Linked DNA regions of Drosophila melanogaster. Changing the gene in region 1 together with any one later gene gives a genetic interaction. Each region holds a gene or a part of one and is shown in the gene's direction. Other genes may lie near its edges.

Region 1 (5,187 bases):
TCTTTTTGTCTGTGACGCAGTTGTACCCTGTAAAAGTGGAGCATATCGCTTTTTGCCAACGAATGGCTGTTTGTATGCTTATGGATACTAAAGCGGAATGTTGGAAGGTGAATTTTATTGGGCTGTTTGTGATTTCCATTGACAGAAGAATTAAACAATTTTTTTTTTTTTTTAATATGTCGCTTGTACAAACAATTAATTAAATGTGCAAATTGCAGAGTAGTTGGGCGAGTGTGCAGCGTGCATTTTTTTTTTGCTGGTTCGCCTCGTTGCGAAATCAAAACAAAGCGTGTGAAAGAGAGGGCAGATGCACGCGCCAAAAGCGCTATGTTGTGCACTAAAAGTTGTGGAAATGAAAATCAAAGCGAAACGTAACAAAATCGACGGGGTGTAGAAAGCGGGAGGAACTTTGCGTCGGAACCACCTGATGATTTAATACTCTCTAAAAGGGGCAAAATTCAAAATGCAGGTCCTTTCAAGTCGATTTTTAAAGGTTGATATATGTGTACATATGTACATATTTGTGCGATAAACATATGTACACATGCACAAATCATTATTTGTATGTAGTACACATACTATGTACATTGTATTTTACAAACAGTTATTAAGAAGTTTGTTGGAATGTGCATACATACATATGTATGTATGTATGTAGAGACGTATGCTTGTGCATGTTATATTCTATTTTTCATTCAAGGTCCCCTTGCTTCCTATCCGCCTTTACCTTATTACCCTTTTCTACTTCTTCCACAACTTCTTCTTTCCAAAGTTGTAATATTTTTGGCTGGTTTCTATTCTTTTCCCTTTCTTTTTACATTTCCTTGGCATCGTTTAATTCGTTAACAAAATGTTTGGCTCTTCTTTTGTTTCTACCATGCGGCCTAACTTTTCTATTATTGTTAAATGAATTCTGCATTGTTTACAAAGTTCACAAGTTCAATCAACTTGACAAAACGGAAAATGAAGTTGCGTGGCAGACAAAGAGGTGACAAAGGCACACACGCACATAAAAAAAAGTACGGTAAATGCATGCATAGATAAAGGAAAGGGCAAGAAGGAAATACGAAAGAAATGTAAGGCGCCAAAGCAAGAGGGAATGAACAACTTCTCGCAACTTCTACGCAAAAAGGAATAGAGCTTAAAATAAATCGATTTAAAAATAGGAAACATTTATGCGGCAATGAAGAATCCCAAATAATGCCACAGAAAAGCAATTGAAACCTGTAGTTTTATGTCGATTAACATTAACATAAATAAATGCGTATATTTATAAATTTAATTTCTATATTTTAATATACATACCGTAAGTAAATTAAGGAAATGAATAAAATTTTGTTTTGATTTCCAGTCAACTACACATTTTCGTATTGCATTTATTTCACAAAAACATTTTGAGCCAGTTCAAGTTAATTGTTTATGTTTTTATTTACGGAGCAATTTGCGATTTGTCTCAATTTTGTTTGCGCTCAATTATTGTAAACACCACTCAAAAATCTCACTCTCTTTCACTCAAAAAAAAAATACCGGCAAACTGATGCTGTTATGTGAACCAGTGTGCGGGAGAGGCAAAGAAACATTGATCATTTTAAATGCATTGCGTACTATTTGAAAACCTTCGAGTATTAACAAATCGTGATGAATCCAAATGTGATCTAAATGTGATCCAAATGTCAAAGAAGATTTTTGTTGAAGCTCCTATTCTCACCACTTAAAGCGAATTCCAGCAAAGAGAGCAGCAGTGAGCATGCGCAGTGAGAGCGCAGAGAGCGCGGCAGTCTGGTACGATAGAAATTTTATTTAAGCCACAGACAACATGAAACGGGCACTATTTCTGTGGCGTCGCGTGTTCAGTTCACCGCGGGTAATTCAGAGAATCGCTTTGTGGATTGGATTTTTGCCTGTTTTCCGCCCGATACAAAAAAAAAAAACCAAACGCTATATAAATAGTTCTGTAGTAAAACCTGAAGCAACACGTTTTAAAATATACAACTACTACTAACAACTGTCACAGCCAAGTTACAAAAGTGCTAAATCCCAGAAATAACCTAAGAGCCGACTTAAAACCGCGCAAATACATAAAAAAAAATCTTCTCCAAAGCAGAAACAAAAACTTGTGAAAAACTAGAATTAAAAAAAGATTTTTTAAAAAAAATCAGCTAGTGCAAAATAAACGGGAAGAATTTTTTTTTGTGTCCCTTTTTTTGGTGTTTTTTCTCCGTCTTTCCCCTTCTTTGACGCAAAAAAAAAAGTGCCCAACTTGCTGGCGGCACGGGAACGGGATAGAAATAGATATAGCCGAAAGCGACTGGAAAGCAAAGGAAGCTAACTAAATTGGATTACAATCAATTAAATAGAGACGGATACGGAAACTATGTTCAGCGAGGTGAGTGCAAAGATATATATATATAATATATATTATTTATCGGAACGCAACGACTTCAAAAATCGCGCCACTACGGGGAATTCAAAATAGAATTTCTGGGAAAGGTGAAATAGCTTAACTTTTAACGGTGCTCTCACACACAATGACAAATCAGTGATCATGGCCGCACAAATCGATACGAAATAACGGATTCTAGGAACTCAGAAGGAATGTTAAGAATCAAGTGCTTACAAGAAATTAAGAACAAAAAGTGAGACAATAGAAAAGTGGAAGTGGACGAATTTTGCAAAACAAAATTCTACAAAGTTCTTTATTGTTTTGTGAAATTCTTCTTAATGCTGGCAAGTATTAAAAACGCTTTGATGGCGTTGAAACGAGTTGGTAATGTTCGAAAATTCCAGAACTCTGGGGCTCCAAAGTAATTAAATAAAATGGTCCCAAAATTTTTACGAAAGTATTAAACTTTTTAAAGGAGAAATAAATCAATTAATTAAAAAAAGAAATAAATTAGCTTGATAAATTAAAAAAGAAATAAATTAGCTTGATAAATTAAAAAAGAAATAAATTAGCTTAATAAATTTAAAAAGATTTAAATAATAATTTAATAAATGTTGATATTCCAATTTTACTATGATTCTGAAATTCAATATATACCGGGTTGCGTTCGATTCTGCGAAAGACATGTACTGTTAGTTTTTGCTCGTACTTGTTTACCGGAATGCAACGGATTCTACGAAAAGGGAAAAGCACAGTAAGCTTTGCAGGTCTGCGTTTATCGGTAAAAGGACCGTTTATTTTTCAGTAACTGGAATTGGGTATTTGATATTTGGTTTTCCTTTTATGCCCTTGTTTATTTCATTAGTATATGTATTTTTTTTTTTTTTTTGCTATTGTCAAGAGCGCCAAGATTGACGATTTCGGGTTCAAATGGTTAATAGTGTATAAATGAAGCTATAAGCTAAATTTGCTTTTGATAACATTTGCTGAACCCTCGACATCGCCTGACGTCATTATAGGTGAAATCTGGCACAGTAGAACGTGACTTAATACAATAATAATATTAGGAGTTTAGTTACTCTTACATTATAGTTGAAATGTTGCAAAAATCCTTATGTTGAAGAAGTTTTCAAAAAGTGTGTTGCCGACATATTTATTTAATTAAGTTCAAATATAGAATCATACCTACAACGATTTCCGCCTTATCTATATTTTTCAGACAGGCATATAACTCAGGAACTTAAGATATATAGAAAGAAAAAAAAACCCAGACAACATAATCGCAATGGCCCTTTACCGCTCTGATCCGTATTCCATAATGGACGACCAACTTTTTTCAAATATTTCAATATTCGATATGGATAATGATCTGTACGATATGGACAAACTCCTTTCGTCGTCCACCATTCAGAGTGATCTCGAGAAGATCGAGGACATGGAAAGTGTATTTCAAGACTATGACTTAGAGGAGGATATGAAGCCAGAGATCCGCAACATCGACTGCATGTGGCCGGCGATGTCCAGCTGTTTGACCAGCGGTAACGGTAATGGAATAGAGAGCGGAAACAGTGCAGCCTCGTCGTACAGCGAAACCGGTGCCGTATCCCTGGCGATGGTTTCCGGCTCTACGAATCTCTACAGCGCGTATCAACGATCGCAGACGACAGATAACACCCAGTCAAATCAACAGCATGTCGTCAACAGTGCCGAGAACATGCCGGTGATCATCAAGAAGGAGCTCGCAGATCTGGACTACACGGTCTGTCAGAAGCGCCTCCGTTTGAGCGGCGGTGACAAGAAGTCACAGATCCAGGACGAGGTCCATTTAATACCGCCCGGCGGAAGTTTGCTCCGCAAGCGGAACAACCAGGACATTATCCGCAAATCGGGCGAATTGAGCGGCAGCGATAGCATAAAATACCAGAGACCAGACACACCTCACAGTCTTACCGACGAGGTGGCCGCCTCAGAGTTTAGACATAACGTCGACTTGCGTGCCTGCGTGATGGGCAGCAATAATATCTCGCTGACCGGCAATGATAGCGATGTCAACTACATTAAGCAAATCAGCAGGGAGCTTCAGAATACCGGCAAGGATCCGTTGCCGGTGCGTTACATCCCGCCGATCAACGATGTCCTCGATGTGCTCAACCAGCATTCCAATTCGACGGGTGGCCAACAGCAGTTGAACCAACAGCAACTGGACGAGCAACAACAGGCCATCGATATAGCCACTGGACGCAACACAGTGGATTCTCCGCCGACGACCGGCTCTGATAGTGACTCCGATGACGGTGAACCCCTCAACTTTGACCTGCGCCATCATCGCACTAGCAAAAGCGGCAGCAATGCCAGCATCACCACCAACAACAACAACAGCAACAACAAAAACAACAAATTGAAGAACAACAGCAACGGCATGCTGCACATGATGCACATCACCGATCACAGCTACACGCGCTGCAACGATATGGTGGACGATGGTCCCAATTTGGAGACCCCCTCAGATTCCGGTGAGTCAAATTTATATACTTTTCATATGCCCCATTTTCATCAATATTGGAAGCTTAAAGTCCGAATGTCTTACAAGAAATACAAAATGGTCTGGTCGTTGGATGCATGGCAAAACAGTAGAGATTAGTTAGATCCCTGGGGATGCATTAAAATTTAGTTTACGCCTGAGTCAGTCTAAAACGCCTACCAAAAGTGGCATACTAATTACAACGTCGTGGGGCGGCCGATTAGTTTACAACCGGCCACATGACCCCCCGCCCGCCCGCACATTCATCCATCCTTTGGGTGTT
Region 2 (3,426 bases), on another chromosome or scaffold:
ACATAGGTGGGACTCTCGGTTCGCGGCTGGATGTCCTCCATCTCCTGGTGATCCTGCAGATACGAACAGGCGTCGTCGTAGATCTGCTGGGCACTCAGCTTGAGCTGGTCCGCCGATGCCTCCACGCGAATGGGCACAATGCGAGTGTTGGCCAACGGACTTGGACTCGGATTCACCGGACTGATGCTCCCATTTGTGGCCAAAGCCAAAGCCATCTGCTGCTGCTGTTTAACTGCCACGTTGTCAATTACCATTCGCCCTGCTGTCTTCGCTTGATTGAGATTTGCGGCAGCTGGCGACACCGGTGTCGGTGGCAGCGGCAAGGTCTCCAAATCCACATCTTGACCAGAATTGGGATCATCCTCGCTGTCGCCGTCGTGGCCATATGAGATCTTTACCTCAGTGGCCAGTTTTATGCACCGCCGTTGGACTTTTGGCTTTGAAGTTCTCGGCTTAGGTGGCGGCAATTCCGGAGCACCCACTGTACGTTTCCGGGAGCGGCTACGATCCAGGGAATGAGCCTGTCTCTTGTATCTTGGCCTATATGGAGTGATTTGAGTGGGCAGAGTTGGTGTGGCGGACCTTTTGTGGGCCAATTGCTCGTAGTACTCACATCGCGGAGCCACCAAACCCAAATCCACATCGGCTGCCTTGGTCTCTGGAGCGGAGAATCCCTTGGATATGGGAGTTTGATGGAAAACTTCCGCCAGGTCAGGTTCTTTGGTGTGCTTTTGGAGCGTTTTTGATCTCTCTTTGGAGCCACCATCGCGTCGTCGCTGCTCTCTCACTTCATTGGCAGTGGGTTCGATAACCAGGGTGGGACTCTGGAACTTCTCCCTCAGAGCCTCAATACTGTGCGATGGGCTGCAGGAGATCTGATGGCTCTGTTCGGGATTGATAGTTGGTTGATCCTGCTCAGCTGGAGGCCAGCTGTGATCCCGTTTGAGCAGATGCCTCTTGGTGGCCAGACGGTTGATTTTCAGCACCGTGTCCCGATCGATAGTGATGTCCTGCTGATGACTGAGATAGTCTGTTTTGATCTGGTTCAGAAGCTGCTGGTGCAGCGTGTGATGCAGTGCATCCACCTCGCCTCGTTGACGCGGGCGACTCTGCCTTTCAGTGGGGTAAAAATCTTTGTGGGGGAAGTCCCCTGAATTTATTTAAATTTATCTGTAAAAAACACTAATATTGGACGAGCACTGGGACTGGAGTTTGCTGTTTTGTTGTATGTTTCTACACTGTTTCTTTTTGTCTAGGCAACATAAAATAAACGCGCATAGACAAATATCCAAAAAAGAGAGGTATATCTTACCACATTTGGCTTGTTGTTCTTCCTCTTCGACGGCGCGCAGAACGGCCGAGTTGGCCAAGTTCAGGGGCTTCGTTATTTGATCGTCGACTTCAATCCTAAAAATAACGTAAAAATACAATACAATTAGTAAGAATCAATGCACATCGTATATTGTATGAGGTAAAATTTTAAATTTCGCGGTATATACTGCTTGTGTGTTTGGCGCACTGCTTCGACTGCTTGCAAGCAGTTAGCGCCAAATTTAAATTTATTTTTAAATATGCTCTCCTCGCAGGCATGTATTCGATTGTCATGCGTTCTTTTGGTATATGTTATAGAATTATACATGTGAACAGGCAAAAATGTAATATACGACTTTACTTTCTTAGATATACAATAAGTACATTACTTAAATATTTCATGAAATACAAACTTATGATCGTATGCACTATTTGCACGATAAGCCAATTAAACATATTGAAAATGAAAGCCCTTCTAACTAAAGACCATATATATCGTTATACATTTTGATTTCAGCTATTATATATAGATTCCGCCACCCCCTTGGTGCATCCGATTAAGCGAAAGTTACGCTAATCCATGGGCATAAATTAATGATAGCACCCTGCGATGTCCTGACATTGAAAATTAGCAAGTACGCTCCTGCCCACGCTGACCCCAAAAGACTAATCCAATCTGACAGGTGAAAGTGCGCCGGCGGATATAAAAATGGCTGACAGCGGCGGAAACTGCACCACATCCTATCCAGCAGCAGTTCCAGCAAGGCAATGATGTTCCGCTCCGTGATCCCAGTTCTCCTGTTCCTGATCCCGCTCCTGCTATCCGCCCAGGCCGCAAACTCGCTGCGGGCTTGTGGCCCCGCCTTGATGGACATGCTGAGGGTTGCCTGTCCCAATGGATTCAATTCAATGTTCGCCAAACGAGGCACCTGTGAGTATCGGCTGCGTTTTTTTGGGGTTTGGGGTTTCCAAACGGCACGAACTCACTTATTTTACTTGCAGTGGGCCTATTCGATTATGAGGACCACTTGGCGGATTTGGATAGCTCCGAATCTCACCACATGAACTCACTGTCGAGCATTCGGCGCGATTTTCGCGGCGTTGTCGACTCCTGTTGCCGCAAATCGTGTTCCTTTTCCACGTTGAGGGCATACTGCGACTCCTAAAAATGCTGCGATACCTGGTCCATCAGTTTACATACATACATATATGAGACATGTTACGTAAAAGTATTAAGTATAAACTATATGCACGGCTTTGAAACTTGAAACTACAATAAATAAGCGCAATTCGAAACATCGCTTTTTAATTTCTTCAAACATTAAATATTATAAATATTTCGATAATAATTTTAGCCTTTAAAAGTGAACAGATACACTAAATGGTTAGCAAAAGAACAATATGAACAATTTTAAACACACTTTGATATATCCAAATTCTATTATAACAATGTTTATTTTTTTCCATACGAAAATATGCTCCTTTGAGCGGAAGGAAAATCAAATTTTGATTTAAATCGCAGCAAGTTGGGTGGAAATTTTGCACACAAACAAAACTATGCCTTTCGCTTGCCTGGCGATTTTCTTTAAGCTGGCAAAAAGAGTTTTCAACTTTAATTATAATTTGCTTGAAATGTTTTGCTTTCAACGCATCATCTTAATCTGGGACGAAATGTTTTGCCTCAACAAAACGAGATAACAAACAGAAATATTTAAGCTAAGAAAATGTGCCTGCTGAGATAAGACCTTAAAGAATTTATGGACGACAAAGTCCAGAGATAATCGCCAAGCTTTAAGCTTTTTCGGCAATTTAAGACGAACGTCAGCCATTCCTCATTAGATCCGACATTGACCTTTTAGCTGGGAACATTTGGCAAAAAATCACTCACATCTGTCGGCCTCAACTTTAATTAGTTGATTAATTTGAAGGAAGTGTAAACATTGTGACAACCTCATTCGCCGCAGGCCCATTTTGGCTCAAAAATAAAGACAAATAGATAGATAGATAGACATTCAATTCATTGAATTTTAATAGAGATTTGCTCAAATATTTGCCCAGATATCCACTTAGTGGCGTTTGCTTAATTAACAGCACAGCGTTTTAATTATTTTCTGT
Region 3 (5,569 bases), on another chromosome or scaffold:
GCCCGAGGAGGAGGAGATCAATCTGGACATGGACTTCTCGATGGCCAAAAAGAAGAAGAAGAGCAAGAAGAAGGAACTGGACGAGCTGTTTGCGGACCAAGCGGACGACGACAAGAGCGAAGACAAAGAGAACGGTACGGTGACGAATTGCAGAGCAGCCAGGGAAGCTTAGGGTTATAGAATCATCCCAACCAAGATTGGCAGCCATATAAGCTTGTTGTCACTTGACAAAGGCAAAGCTATACGATTCTTAAAGTGTATAACTTGGCTTTCGCCTTTTCCGAAGCATTAAAACTCAGTGTATGAAGTGAACTAGAAATGCTTAGCCAGTGAGTTAGCATGTAGCTGTTCCAACTTTAAATAGACTCCAGATTTCAAAGCTCTCACTTAGCAAATAAGCTTATACCATACCCTTTTAAATAACGTTTTCATCCGTTTACAGACGAGGACAACAGCTCAACCTGGTTTGGCTCCGACCGCGATTACACATACGACGAGTTGCTGAAGCGGGTCTTCGAAATCATTCTCGACAAGAATCCGGACATGGCCGCCGGCCGAAAGCCAAAGTTCGTGATGCGACCGCCGCAGGTGCTGCGCGTGGGAACCAAGAAGACCTCCTTTGCCAACTTCATGGACATTGCGAAAACGCTGCATCGCCTGCCCAAGCATCTGCTCGATTTCCTGCTGGCCGAGTTGGGTACCAGTGGCTCCATGGACGGCAACCAGCAGCTGATCATCAAGGGCCGTTTCCAGCCCAAACAGATCGAGAATGTGCTGCGTCGCTACATCAAGGAGTACGTCACCTGTCACACCTGCCGCTCCCCGGAAACGATATTGCAGAAGGACACGCGTCTCTTCTTCCTGCAGTGCGAATCCTGTGGCTCCCGCTGCTCGGTGGCCAGCATTAAGTCAGGTTTCCAGGCTGTCACCGGCAAACGTGCCGCCATACGAGCAAAAACAACCTAAATTCTCCTTATTTAAAACTTTTTGAATTTTTATTACCAGTAAAATTTCAATACAAAAAACCAACGATACTATTTATTTGTTGTATTCTGCATTGTTTTATGCCTTCGTTGCCAGTCGGTTAGGTAGTCTACGAAGCCAATTTCCATATTCCGCGATCGGCCGCTGTCTATGAAGAACTGAAAAGCGTCCAGACCCATCTTGCCGCGGAACCTATTCGGACGACCGCGCAGGAATAGGCTGTGGCCCCTCGAGATGCGCGTGGGATCAATGTACTCCATGGAGACCTGCAGCAGCCGCATCATGCTCACGGCAATGCTCTTGTAGGCCTCGGACGAGGCCAGCGAACTGGCTTCACTGTACAGGCTGCTGATCACGCGTCCATTGAAGGGTTTTTTGGTGATGCTGGCCTCCAGGGAGCCGGTGCCATCATCGATCATGAACTTCATGAACGACTCGTTGTGCGTTCCATTGCCAGTTACAAAGGCGTAGATGATGCAGGTGCAGAAGTGAATCGGATGCACGTCGTCTGTGATGAACACATTCTCGTTCTCCGGATCCTGAGTTGCGCGCTCAATCTGGGATATGGTCAGCGGCACGTTGTCGTGGACCTCCGGACCACATTTGCCCGTGGACTTTTCACTCTGTTGATTCTTGCGTATCACGAAGTTATCCAGCTGGCTTTCTATGTCCTCGAAACTCTGATTAAAATCCATTCTATTTGCTTAGTCTGCGATTTCAAAGGGGATTTCTTTATTGCAGTGCATTTTGCATTAGCGCCAAAAAAAAAAACAGTTGTGAGCATGGGCGTAGACTTCGTATTTTCTTACAAATAATATTAATTAAAATTAATTTTGTGAGCAATTTTCACACAATTGTATTATAAGTTAAAACCAGGGTCACATTAATTTGCAGAACCGCGCAATATTTTCTTTTTAACCCCCTTACAAATTTTCAGTTGTTTTGACTACGCCCCTGCTAATTTTTACTTATTAAATTCAAAGTCTAAAAACATTGTCACCAGATAATACGAGTATACACTATATGGACAAACGTAAAATCGTTAATAGAATATATATATTCAACCATTATTTCACCACCGAGAGAAATTCATTTGCACAAAACGCCAGGTTGGCAGCACCATCATTGCGCACAGCAAGTGGGCAAACTCGTTGTATCGCTTGTGAAATTTAAGGAAAAGTACACTTTGTTCAAAACTAACGAAGAGAATCGCAATATCTGCCGATCTTGGAATGTCTGGTGGTCCATCCATAACGATAAAAAGCCAACCAATCGATGGTAACAACACGGGCAACGCTGCGGCGCAACAGCAGCAGCAGGCAGCGAATGGCGCAGCAACCGCTGGTGCATCTGGAGCCGCTGGCAGCGCCCAGAATCCAGGACACGGAGGAGCTGCGTCCGGCGCTGGCAGTGTGCCGGCAGAGGGAACGCGCCAGAACAGCCTACAGCGCATTCAGCAGCGAAAGCAAAAGGTCTTCAATCTGCCCGTGCCACAGAAACTGGCCAAATTGTCGATGTATTCCGCCTGCCAGTCTGAGGGATGCCGTTGCACCGGCTGGAAGACACCGCAGGAAAATCGCCACCGTGACGTCGAGTCCTCCTACTGTCCGGAGTTCAACGAGGAGTGCCGCAACACCAGCTGTCGCCATTCGCTGAGATCGCACATAGCCCATCTGGACAATATATCCAGTTCCAGCATGAACGAGCTACTGGGCGCCATTATAGACATGGAGAACCTATTCATGTCCATGCAGCGCGTCGAGGACGAGGACACCAAGAAGGTGTACCAGTACCTCTTCCGTTTGCTGCGCCAGTGCGTCCTCACGCGCCAGCAGGCGGTCATCCGGGGTCCTCTCGGCGATCCACCATTCGAGACGCCGTGCATCACCAAGGCTGTGCTCTCGTTGGTCTTCTACAAGTACAATCACCTGAGCACGCCTGAACTCCAAACCATGACCGAGGTGGCCAAGACGTTCTTGAACTTTCTGAACCACTACAACTTTGAATCGCCGTCGACCAGGAGAGGAGATCTCACCCACGAGGATGCCTCTAACTACAAAATCAACTACACCAGGTGGTTGGTGTTCTGCCACGTGCCCGCCTTCTGTAACTCCCTGCGCCAATGTGAAACGTCCCTAGTGTTTGGACGAACGCTCCTGCGCACCGTTTTCCAGTGCATGTCGCAGCAGCTGAAAAAGAAGTGCATCTCCGAGCGGGATCGCTTTCCCGAGGACAAGCGTTCGATCATCACGCTGATGCCGAAGTTTTTGGAAACGCTTCGCGCCGAATTGCTCAAGGATGATTCGCCCATCTGGGATACCAGCTACCGCCCGTCAAATTCCTTTGTCATCCAGCAGAGAAAGCGTAACCAGGAGGTGGCAAATGTACCCATTGGTCCCAGTGCAGCAAGCATTGGTGGAAACAAGAGGACCAGTGTGGGTGAACCGCTCCACAAGCGAATCAAAAAGGAGCCCACCGATCGTCCAAGCAGGTTGGTAATCAGTTTTTTCTTCTTTCAATACATTTACTAATCGTCCTGCCGCAGTGAGAATTTGGATGACCTGCCTGCGGATGTAGTAATGCGCGCCATGAAATCGGTGTCCGAGTCGAAGACCACCAACAAAGCGGAAATTCTCTTTCCGGTTAATGTGTCGCGGGATGAGAACGTCAAGGCGGAGGAGCAGAAGCGAGCCATTGAGTTCCATGTGGTGGGCAATTCGCTGACCAAACCGGTGGACAAGCAGACTGTTTTGTGGCTACTGGGCCTGCAGCTCGTATTTGCCTATCAGCTACCCGAGATGCCGCGCGAGTACATCAGCCAGTTGGTTTTCGACACCAAGCACAAAACACTGGCGCTCATCAAGGAAAACCAACCCATCGGCGGCATCTGTTTCCGCCCGTTTCCGTCGCAAGGCTTCACCGAGATCGTTTTCTGCGCGGTCACCATGTCGGAACAAGTTAAGGGCTATGGCACGCACTTGATGAACCACTTGAAGGACTACAGCATACAGAGGGGTATCAAGCATCTGCTCACATTCGCCGATTGCGATGCCATCGGGTACTTCAAGAAGCAGGGTTTCTCCAAGGACATCAAATTGGCGCGACCAGTTTATGCGGGCTACATCAAGGAGTACGATAGTGCTACTCTCATGCACTGCGAGCTGCATCCAAGCATTGTGAACACGCAGTTCATAGCTGGTTAGTCAAAGAATGGACAAGGAATCCATGGTCCCATTTTACACTCCAATTCTTCCTTTCAGTAATTCGCAGTCAGAGCGAGATTCTGAAGGAGCTGATCGCACAGCGCCACAACGAGGTGCAGAAAGTAAGACCCGGCTTGACTTGCTTCAAGGAGGGCCTGCCCGTGATTCCCGTGGAATCGATTCCTGGTCTGCGGGAGATCGGTTGGAAGCCGCAAAATCGTCCGGCGCGCTCATCGCGACCCCTCGAGGAATCCACCGATCCGGAGAAGCTGGCCACGTCCTTTGCATCCGTGCTGCAATCCGTGCGCCAGCACACCACCGCCTGGCCCTTCCTGCGCCCGGTGACCGCGGCCGAAGTTCCGGACTACTACGATCACATTAAATATCCCATGGACCTGAAGACCATGGGCGAGCGCCTGAAGAAGGGTTACTACCAAACGCGCCGCCTGTTCATGGCGGACATGGCGCGCATTTTCTCCAACTGTCGGTTCTACAATTCGCCCGACACCGAGTATTATCGGTGTGCCAACTCCCTGGAGCGCTACTTCCAGACCAAGATGCGCGAGCTGGGGCTGTGGGACAAATGATGCAGTGATTCCGAGGAGCCCTGCATAAGGCCGAACATTTAATCGAACTAAATTATTATATTAATTCTATTTATTTTTAGAATTCTCCCCAGCTAAAGAAAAACCCATATAGTTAGTTTGTCGTTATAGATACTTAGGTTAAGCTCAGTGTGTCCGTCTTGTTCACAGACGCGTTGTGTCTTTGGGAAGAATAAATCAGATCTATCGCCTACTCATTAACCACGAATCCACCCACTCTCCCTTCATCCAGTGGACAAAACCAATGCTGGTCAAATGATGTGTAACCACTACGTTTTTGTCTTAACTCTTTATTTCACTTTTGATTTCCTACATTCATTGTTTCGCATGCTTTTAAAGTTAGAGTTCTTCTCATTTGTTTTTATTTTGGTTTAGTAAATAATTTCAGTTATAAAATTATATCTTAGGGGCGGGAGTTTAATCGAATCTCTAGGACATTGTACAAAGGCTCATGCATACATAAATACGTGGCTCCACATCTGCGTTTCATCCTTTCCAAGGCTGCACCGGAAATGGCAAAGGATATCGTGGATATGCCGATGGTACAATGAAAATGTTAACCGTAGTTGCTTACTGCTTGAATTCAATTATCCTTTATTACATGGTATATTTAGTTTTTAATTTCCATACGTGGTAGTCTTTACAATTTAGCCATTACTTGCGAAACGTGCTTTCTTTTCAGTGTTCAACTCGATAATTGCGTATTTATATACAAACATACATATGTGGAGCTAATCAGAGTGAGCATATATGGAGATATACATATTACATACAATT
Region 4 (4,515 bases), on another chromosome or scaffold:
AAAAGCTTAAAAGTATTAGATTTCATAAATGGCAGATGATTTTTAGTTTATTTAAATTCAATAAATACTTTTTATGATATTTGAACTCAAGTTACAAGTTAATTAATCAATTTTATTTATTAATTATTAATTTTCGCACGGCGTAATATATTTGGGAAAAGATGAAGAAAAGTGAACTTAAACAAGTTGGATTTCATAACTTCAGAATGGTTTCTTAGTGGGGTGAATCTTAAACAACAGGTTTGTTCGCCCAATTGAATAATATTCCAAAACAACAGATTATTCCTAGCTTCCTGATGAGATCACCTAAAGCCACCGCCACTCACCTTTCGGAATTACTTGTGCGATCTTCGCCGGATTCTGGAGGTGCTTCGTACCGCATTCAAATTGGACCAATTGGGGAGAGCAGAGTTACCAACTGGCGTGCTGATCTCGTTAGAATTTAAGCTCGTTTCTTTCCGAGTTTTTCGGGTTTTCAGATGGCAGGCGGAGCGAGACGCGGCCAGGCACTTGGTATGGGTACAGATATAGATGATGGCAGGGGTCTGGGTATAGGTATAGGTATAGGTACTAGGCGGGGGTACTTGTTGCTCACGCGGAGCCCAAAAGCAAAACCTCGGATCTGGACGATGGCCAGAAAATGGAAACGCGATTAGGGGCAGGCGCAAAGGGTATGGGTACACAAAAAAGATGCAGAGCCAGCAGCAGCGCGGAGTATAAAAAAAATAAACGAAAACAATGCCGGAAAAAATCAACATGCACACACTGACACCAAGAATATGTATCTTAAAACTGGTTTAAGATTTGTCGGGGATTTGCTGGCTCGGCCGCATCGAGTGTATGTCTATGGGAGCGCTGTTTGTACTTTCCAATAACAAATCCCACTTCTTGTTTGCCTCTTTTTGAAAACACGCACACATATGTATATTATTATGGAAATATTGTTTCCACTCAGAATCCAACTACGAAACAACTGTTGCACCTCGGTGCAGGATATGAATCAGAAAAGAACTGAAGGACGCAAGCATCCATCACTCACTCACTTTGCAGAGAGCACTTGCCAACGATCTTGCATTTTCAAATATGTTTTTTTTTCGTATACAAATTACCGGCACACGACTCGACCACCGATCGCCGTTTCAAAAACATTCAATTCCAAACACCGACAACGCACCGAACGCACGAACCTCCCGCGACAGGCGCTAAATACAAACTGAGCGGAACCAAACGACACCGAATGCTGGCTAGAGATGGCAAGATACTGCACTGGCGAATAGGGATGGGAGCGTGAGGTTAGTTGATTTCATGACACGGTTACTCATGCACGAACATCGCACGAAGTGTAAAGCGATCCCGAGATGTTACAAATAAACATTTAAAAAACCTTTATTCAAATCAATTACATTTTTGTAAGTTGTGTAACATCCATTATTCGGTTTTAACCGAGCTATGTTCCACGATATGTGGAATACCCAAAGGGATTGAGTAACAAAGGAATGTGATAGTTCTGATTCTCACTGCAATCCACAATCAAGTCAATTGCTGGATAAAGTGTCCTCACATTGCGCTCCGCGTAATAGGCGCCCACGTGAAAGGTCAGCTTATAGATCCCGCCGGGAAATTGACCAGGTTCCAAGAGCAGGCAGCGACCATCCGCATCAGTTTGGGCCGCCCGAAGGGATCTCCATTCCTGAATCTCGTCCAGCCTGGAAACTGTTACTCTCACATTGGCTGCCGCCTTTCCCACCGAAGTATCCTGTAAAAGGTTAACGAAAAATTTTATACATATAAATAAATTGAAACAAAGTTACCAATATGTGGGTAGAAAACTTTCGTGCATCCATCTTGAGGGCAACTTTAAGATTAAAGATCGTAGATATCTCTGGTATCTCAGACGGTAGCAAAAGCTCCAGTTTATGGGACTCTTTATCTTAATCTTTGATTGCATCTTGCATTAACAATGAAAATCACTGATAAGTGGGATATCAAAATAATATGTAAGCCAAAAATCTGTTTGGGGAAATAAATTGGAACGATCATATATATACTTTTTTTTAATGAAGTATTAATTCCAAATAAACGAATAAATTTGCAACAGTTTTTAAAAATATAAAAATCGTTTGATGCCGTATGTTTCAGTATTTGTTTAAAGTATTAGCAAAGACACTAGAATATTCTATTATTCTAGTGTCTTTGGTATTAGTAACAGCGTAATTAATAGGATCTGGTCACACAACCTGCCTTGTTTGAACTGCACGTGTTTATCAATTCGTTTGGTGTATCAAACTAAGTTGAAAAATATAATCATAATGGCTGAGGAAGGACCACCGGAGCCGAGCATTGATTTTGTCCCAGCTCTTTGCTTTGTACCACGCGGCGTGGCTAAGGATCGTCCCGACAAGATCGTGCTGACGCAGGCGGAGCTGGCCAGGATTATCGGTGATACGCAACAGGAATTGGACGAGGAGAGCGACGACGATGCAGAGGAGGGCGAAAATGCCGAGGAAGACCAAAACGACATGGATGTGGACGACCACGCGGATGCCAATAGTGAGAACCGCGATCCGCAGGACGAGTTCCAATTCCAGGAGTATGACAACGAGGCGAATGCTAATGTCACCAGTCTGGCCAACATCGTGGACGCTGGCGAGCAAATCCCCGATGAGGACGAAGACTCCGAGGCCGAGGACGAGGTGATCAAGCCCAGCGACAACCTCATTCTAGTGGGTCACGTTCAAGACGACGCCGCCTCCATGGAGGTGTGGGTTTTCAACCAGGAGGAGGAGGCTCTCTACACCCACCACGACTTTCTGCTGCCAAGCTTTCCTCTGTGCATCGAGTGGATGAATCACGACGCGGGCAGCGAAAAGGCGGGCAACATGTGCGCCATCGGCTGCATGGATCCGATAATCACAGTCTGGGATCTAGACATACAGGACGCTATCGAGCCCACATTTAAGCTGGGTTCCAAAGGCAGCCGGAAGCAGAACAAAGAGCAGTATGGACACAAGGACGCCGTGCTGGATCTCTCTTGGAACACCAACTTTGAGCACATTCTGGCCAGCGGGTCCGTGGACCAAACTGTGATTCTGTGGGACATGGACGAGGGCCAGCCTCATACAACCATTACCGCTTTTGGCAAACAGATTCAGTCGCTGGAATTCCATCCGCAAGAGGCTCAAAGCATTCTTACCGGCTGTGCCGATGGATACGTGCGACTCTTCGATTGCCGCGACGCTGAGGGCGTCAACTCGTCCAGCATTGAGTGGAAAGTTGACGGTGAAGTGGAGAAGGTCCTGTGGCATCCCACACAGACCGACTACTTCATCGTGGGCACCAACGATGGCACCTTGCATTACGCCGACAAACGTTCTCCTGGACAACTGCTGTGGTCCGTAAAGGCCCACAACGAGGAAATCTCCGGTGTGTGCTTCAACAACCAGAAGCCTAATCTGCTGACCTCCACCTCCACGGAGGGCACCCTAAAGGTGTGGAACTTTGATGGCACAGAGGCAAAGCACGTCTACGAGCACGAGTTCAACATGGGTCGCTTGCAGTGCATGCGCCAGTGCCCCGAGGATCCCTACACCCTGGCCTTCGGCGGAGAGAAGCCTCCGCGCTGTGCGATCTTTAACATCAAGAACTCGATAGCCGTGCGCCGAACGTTTGGAATCCCTGATGCAGAGTAGGCAAATCGTACAGCTACGTATTTATCTGTGTATATGCTTTATATGACTTTTAAATAAATATGAATTATATATAAGAACCTTAATGATTGACTTTTATATTAATTAAAATTTATTGATAACTTGCGCATATATGCACTTTACACTTTTATGCTTAAACAACTAATCGACATTTCAGGGGGGATGGGTCACAAACGAAATACAAAACATTAATCCTAAACATTCCGAGCATTCCTTAACACTACATTACGTATACCAAATAAGCTTATCTGTGCTCCTAACTCTTGAATAGACCCACGCACATCAGGAGATTTCGGCGCGTAAAGTGCAGGCTGACAAATGGCGAGTTCTTGCTGGGGAAAGTACGCATGAGGTAGACGTCCTCGTCGTTCTCATCCTGATGGTGCGACACAGTGATGTGATTGCTGATATAGTCTTCGGTAACCTTGTGAAAGTCCCACAGAGTTAGATTGTTATCCAAGCCGGCTGCAGCCAGGACTGTTCCATCGCGACTAAAGGTGATCGTGGTCACAGTGCTAGTGTGCCTCAACAGGGTGGTGACCAGGGATCCGTTCGACAGATCCCAGATGATGATATTGTGATCTACTGAACCCGAGGCCAGATACCGGCCGCAGGCGGAGAAGGCCAGAGAACTCACCGATCCCTTGTGGCCCGTCATCAGGCGTACCGACTGACCGGTCATGTTGTCCCACAGGCGTACCGTGCGATCGCTAGAACCGGTGGCCACATAATTGGAATTGGGATGAAATTGTACACAATCCACGTCCGACAAGTGACCCACGAATACGCGCAACGCTTGATTGGAATC

The links.
Region 2: of Myc (region 1) and Ilp5, changing one suppresses a phenotype caused by changing the other (phenotypic suppression), as found in Drosophila melanogaster (one study listed by BioGRID).
Region 3: of Myc (region 1) and Gcn5, changing one suppresses a phenotype caused by changing the other (phenotypic suppression), as found in Drosophila melanogaster (2 studies listed by BioGRID).
Region 4: of Myc (region 1) and nclb, changing one suppresses a phenotype caused by changing the other (phenotypic suppression), as found in Drosophila melanogaster (one study listed by BioGRID).

The regions. Positions count from the first base shown.
Region 1 is NC_004354.4:3,371,338-3,376,524, forward strand, and holds the start of Myc (Myc), read left to right. Parts: upstream 1-1,821; 5' UTR 1,822-2,386; intron 2,387-3,602; exon of another isoform or gene 3,603-3,606; 5' UTR 3,607-3,668; coding exon 3,669-4,896; intron 4,897-5,187. UniProt on the Drosophila melanogaster protein: Participates in the regulation of gene transcription. Binds DNA in a non-specific manner, yet also specifically recognizes the core sequence CAC[GA]TG. Seems to activate the transcription of growth-related genes; required for cellular proliferation and growth.
Region 2 is NT_037436.4:9,822,527-9,825,952, reverse strand, and holds Ilp5 (Insulin-like peptide 5), read left to right. Parts: upstream 1-2,055; 5' UTR 2,056-2,079; coding exon 2,080-2,242; intron 2,243-2,313; coding exon 2,314-2,477; 3' UTR 2,478-2,604; downstream 2,605-3,426. Other genes in the region: CG43897 (uncharacterized protein), read right to left, coding at 1-1,150, 1,313-1,407.
Region 3 is NT_037436.4:12,520,551-12,526,119, reverse strand, and holds Gcn5 (Gcn5 acetyltransferase), read left to right. Parts: upstream 1-2,105; 5' UTR 2,106-2,216; coding exon 2,217-3,475; intron 3,476-3,529; coding exon 3,530-4,182; intron 4,183-4,244; coding exon 4,245-4,774; 3' UTR 4,775-4,991; downstream 4,992-5,569. Other genes in the region: eIF2beta (eukaryotic translation initiation factor 2 subunit beta), read left to right, coding at 1-134, 443-966; ver (verrocchio), read right to left, coding at 1,035-1,679.
Region 4 is NT_033778.4:10,873,528-10,878,042, forward strand, and holds nclb (no child left behind), read left to right. Parts: upstream 1-2,220; 5' UTR 2,221-2,309; coding exon 2,310-3,689; 3' UTR 3,690-3,769; downstream 3,770-4,515. Other genes in the region: CG30016 (uncharacterized protein), read right to left, coding at 1,448-1,756, 1,812-1,844; Taf5 (TBP-associated factor 5), read right to left, coding at 3,964-4,515. UniProt on the Drosophila melanogaster protein: Chromatin-associated factor that regulates transcription. Regulates Pol I-mediated rRNA biogenesis and, probably, Pol III-mediated transcription. Regulates the localization to the nucleolus of Cdk7, a regulator of the Pol I-elongation factor TFIIH.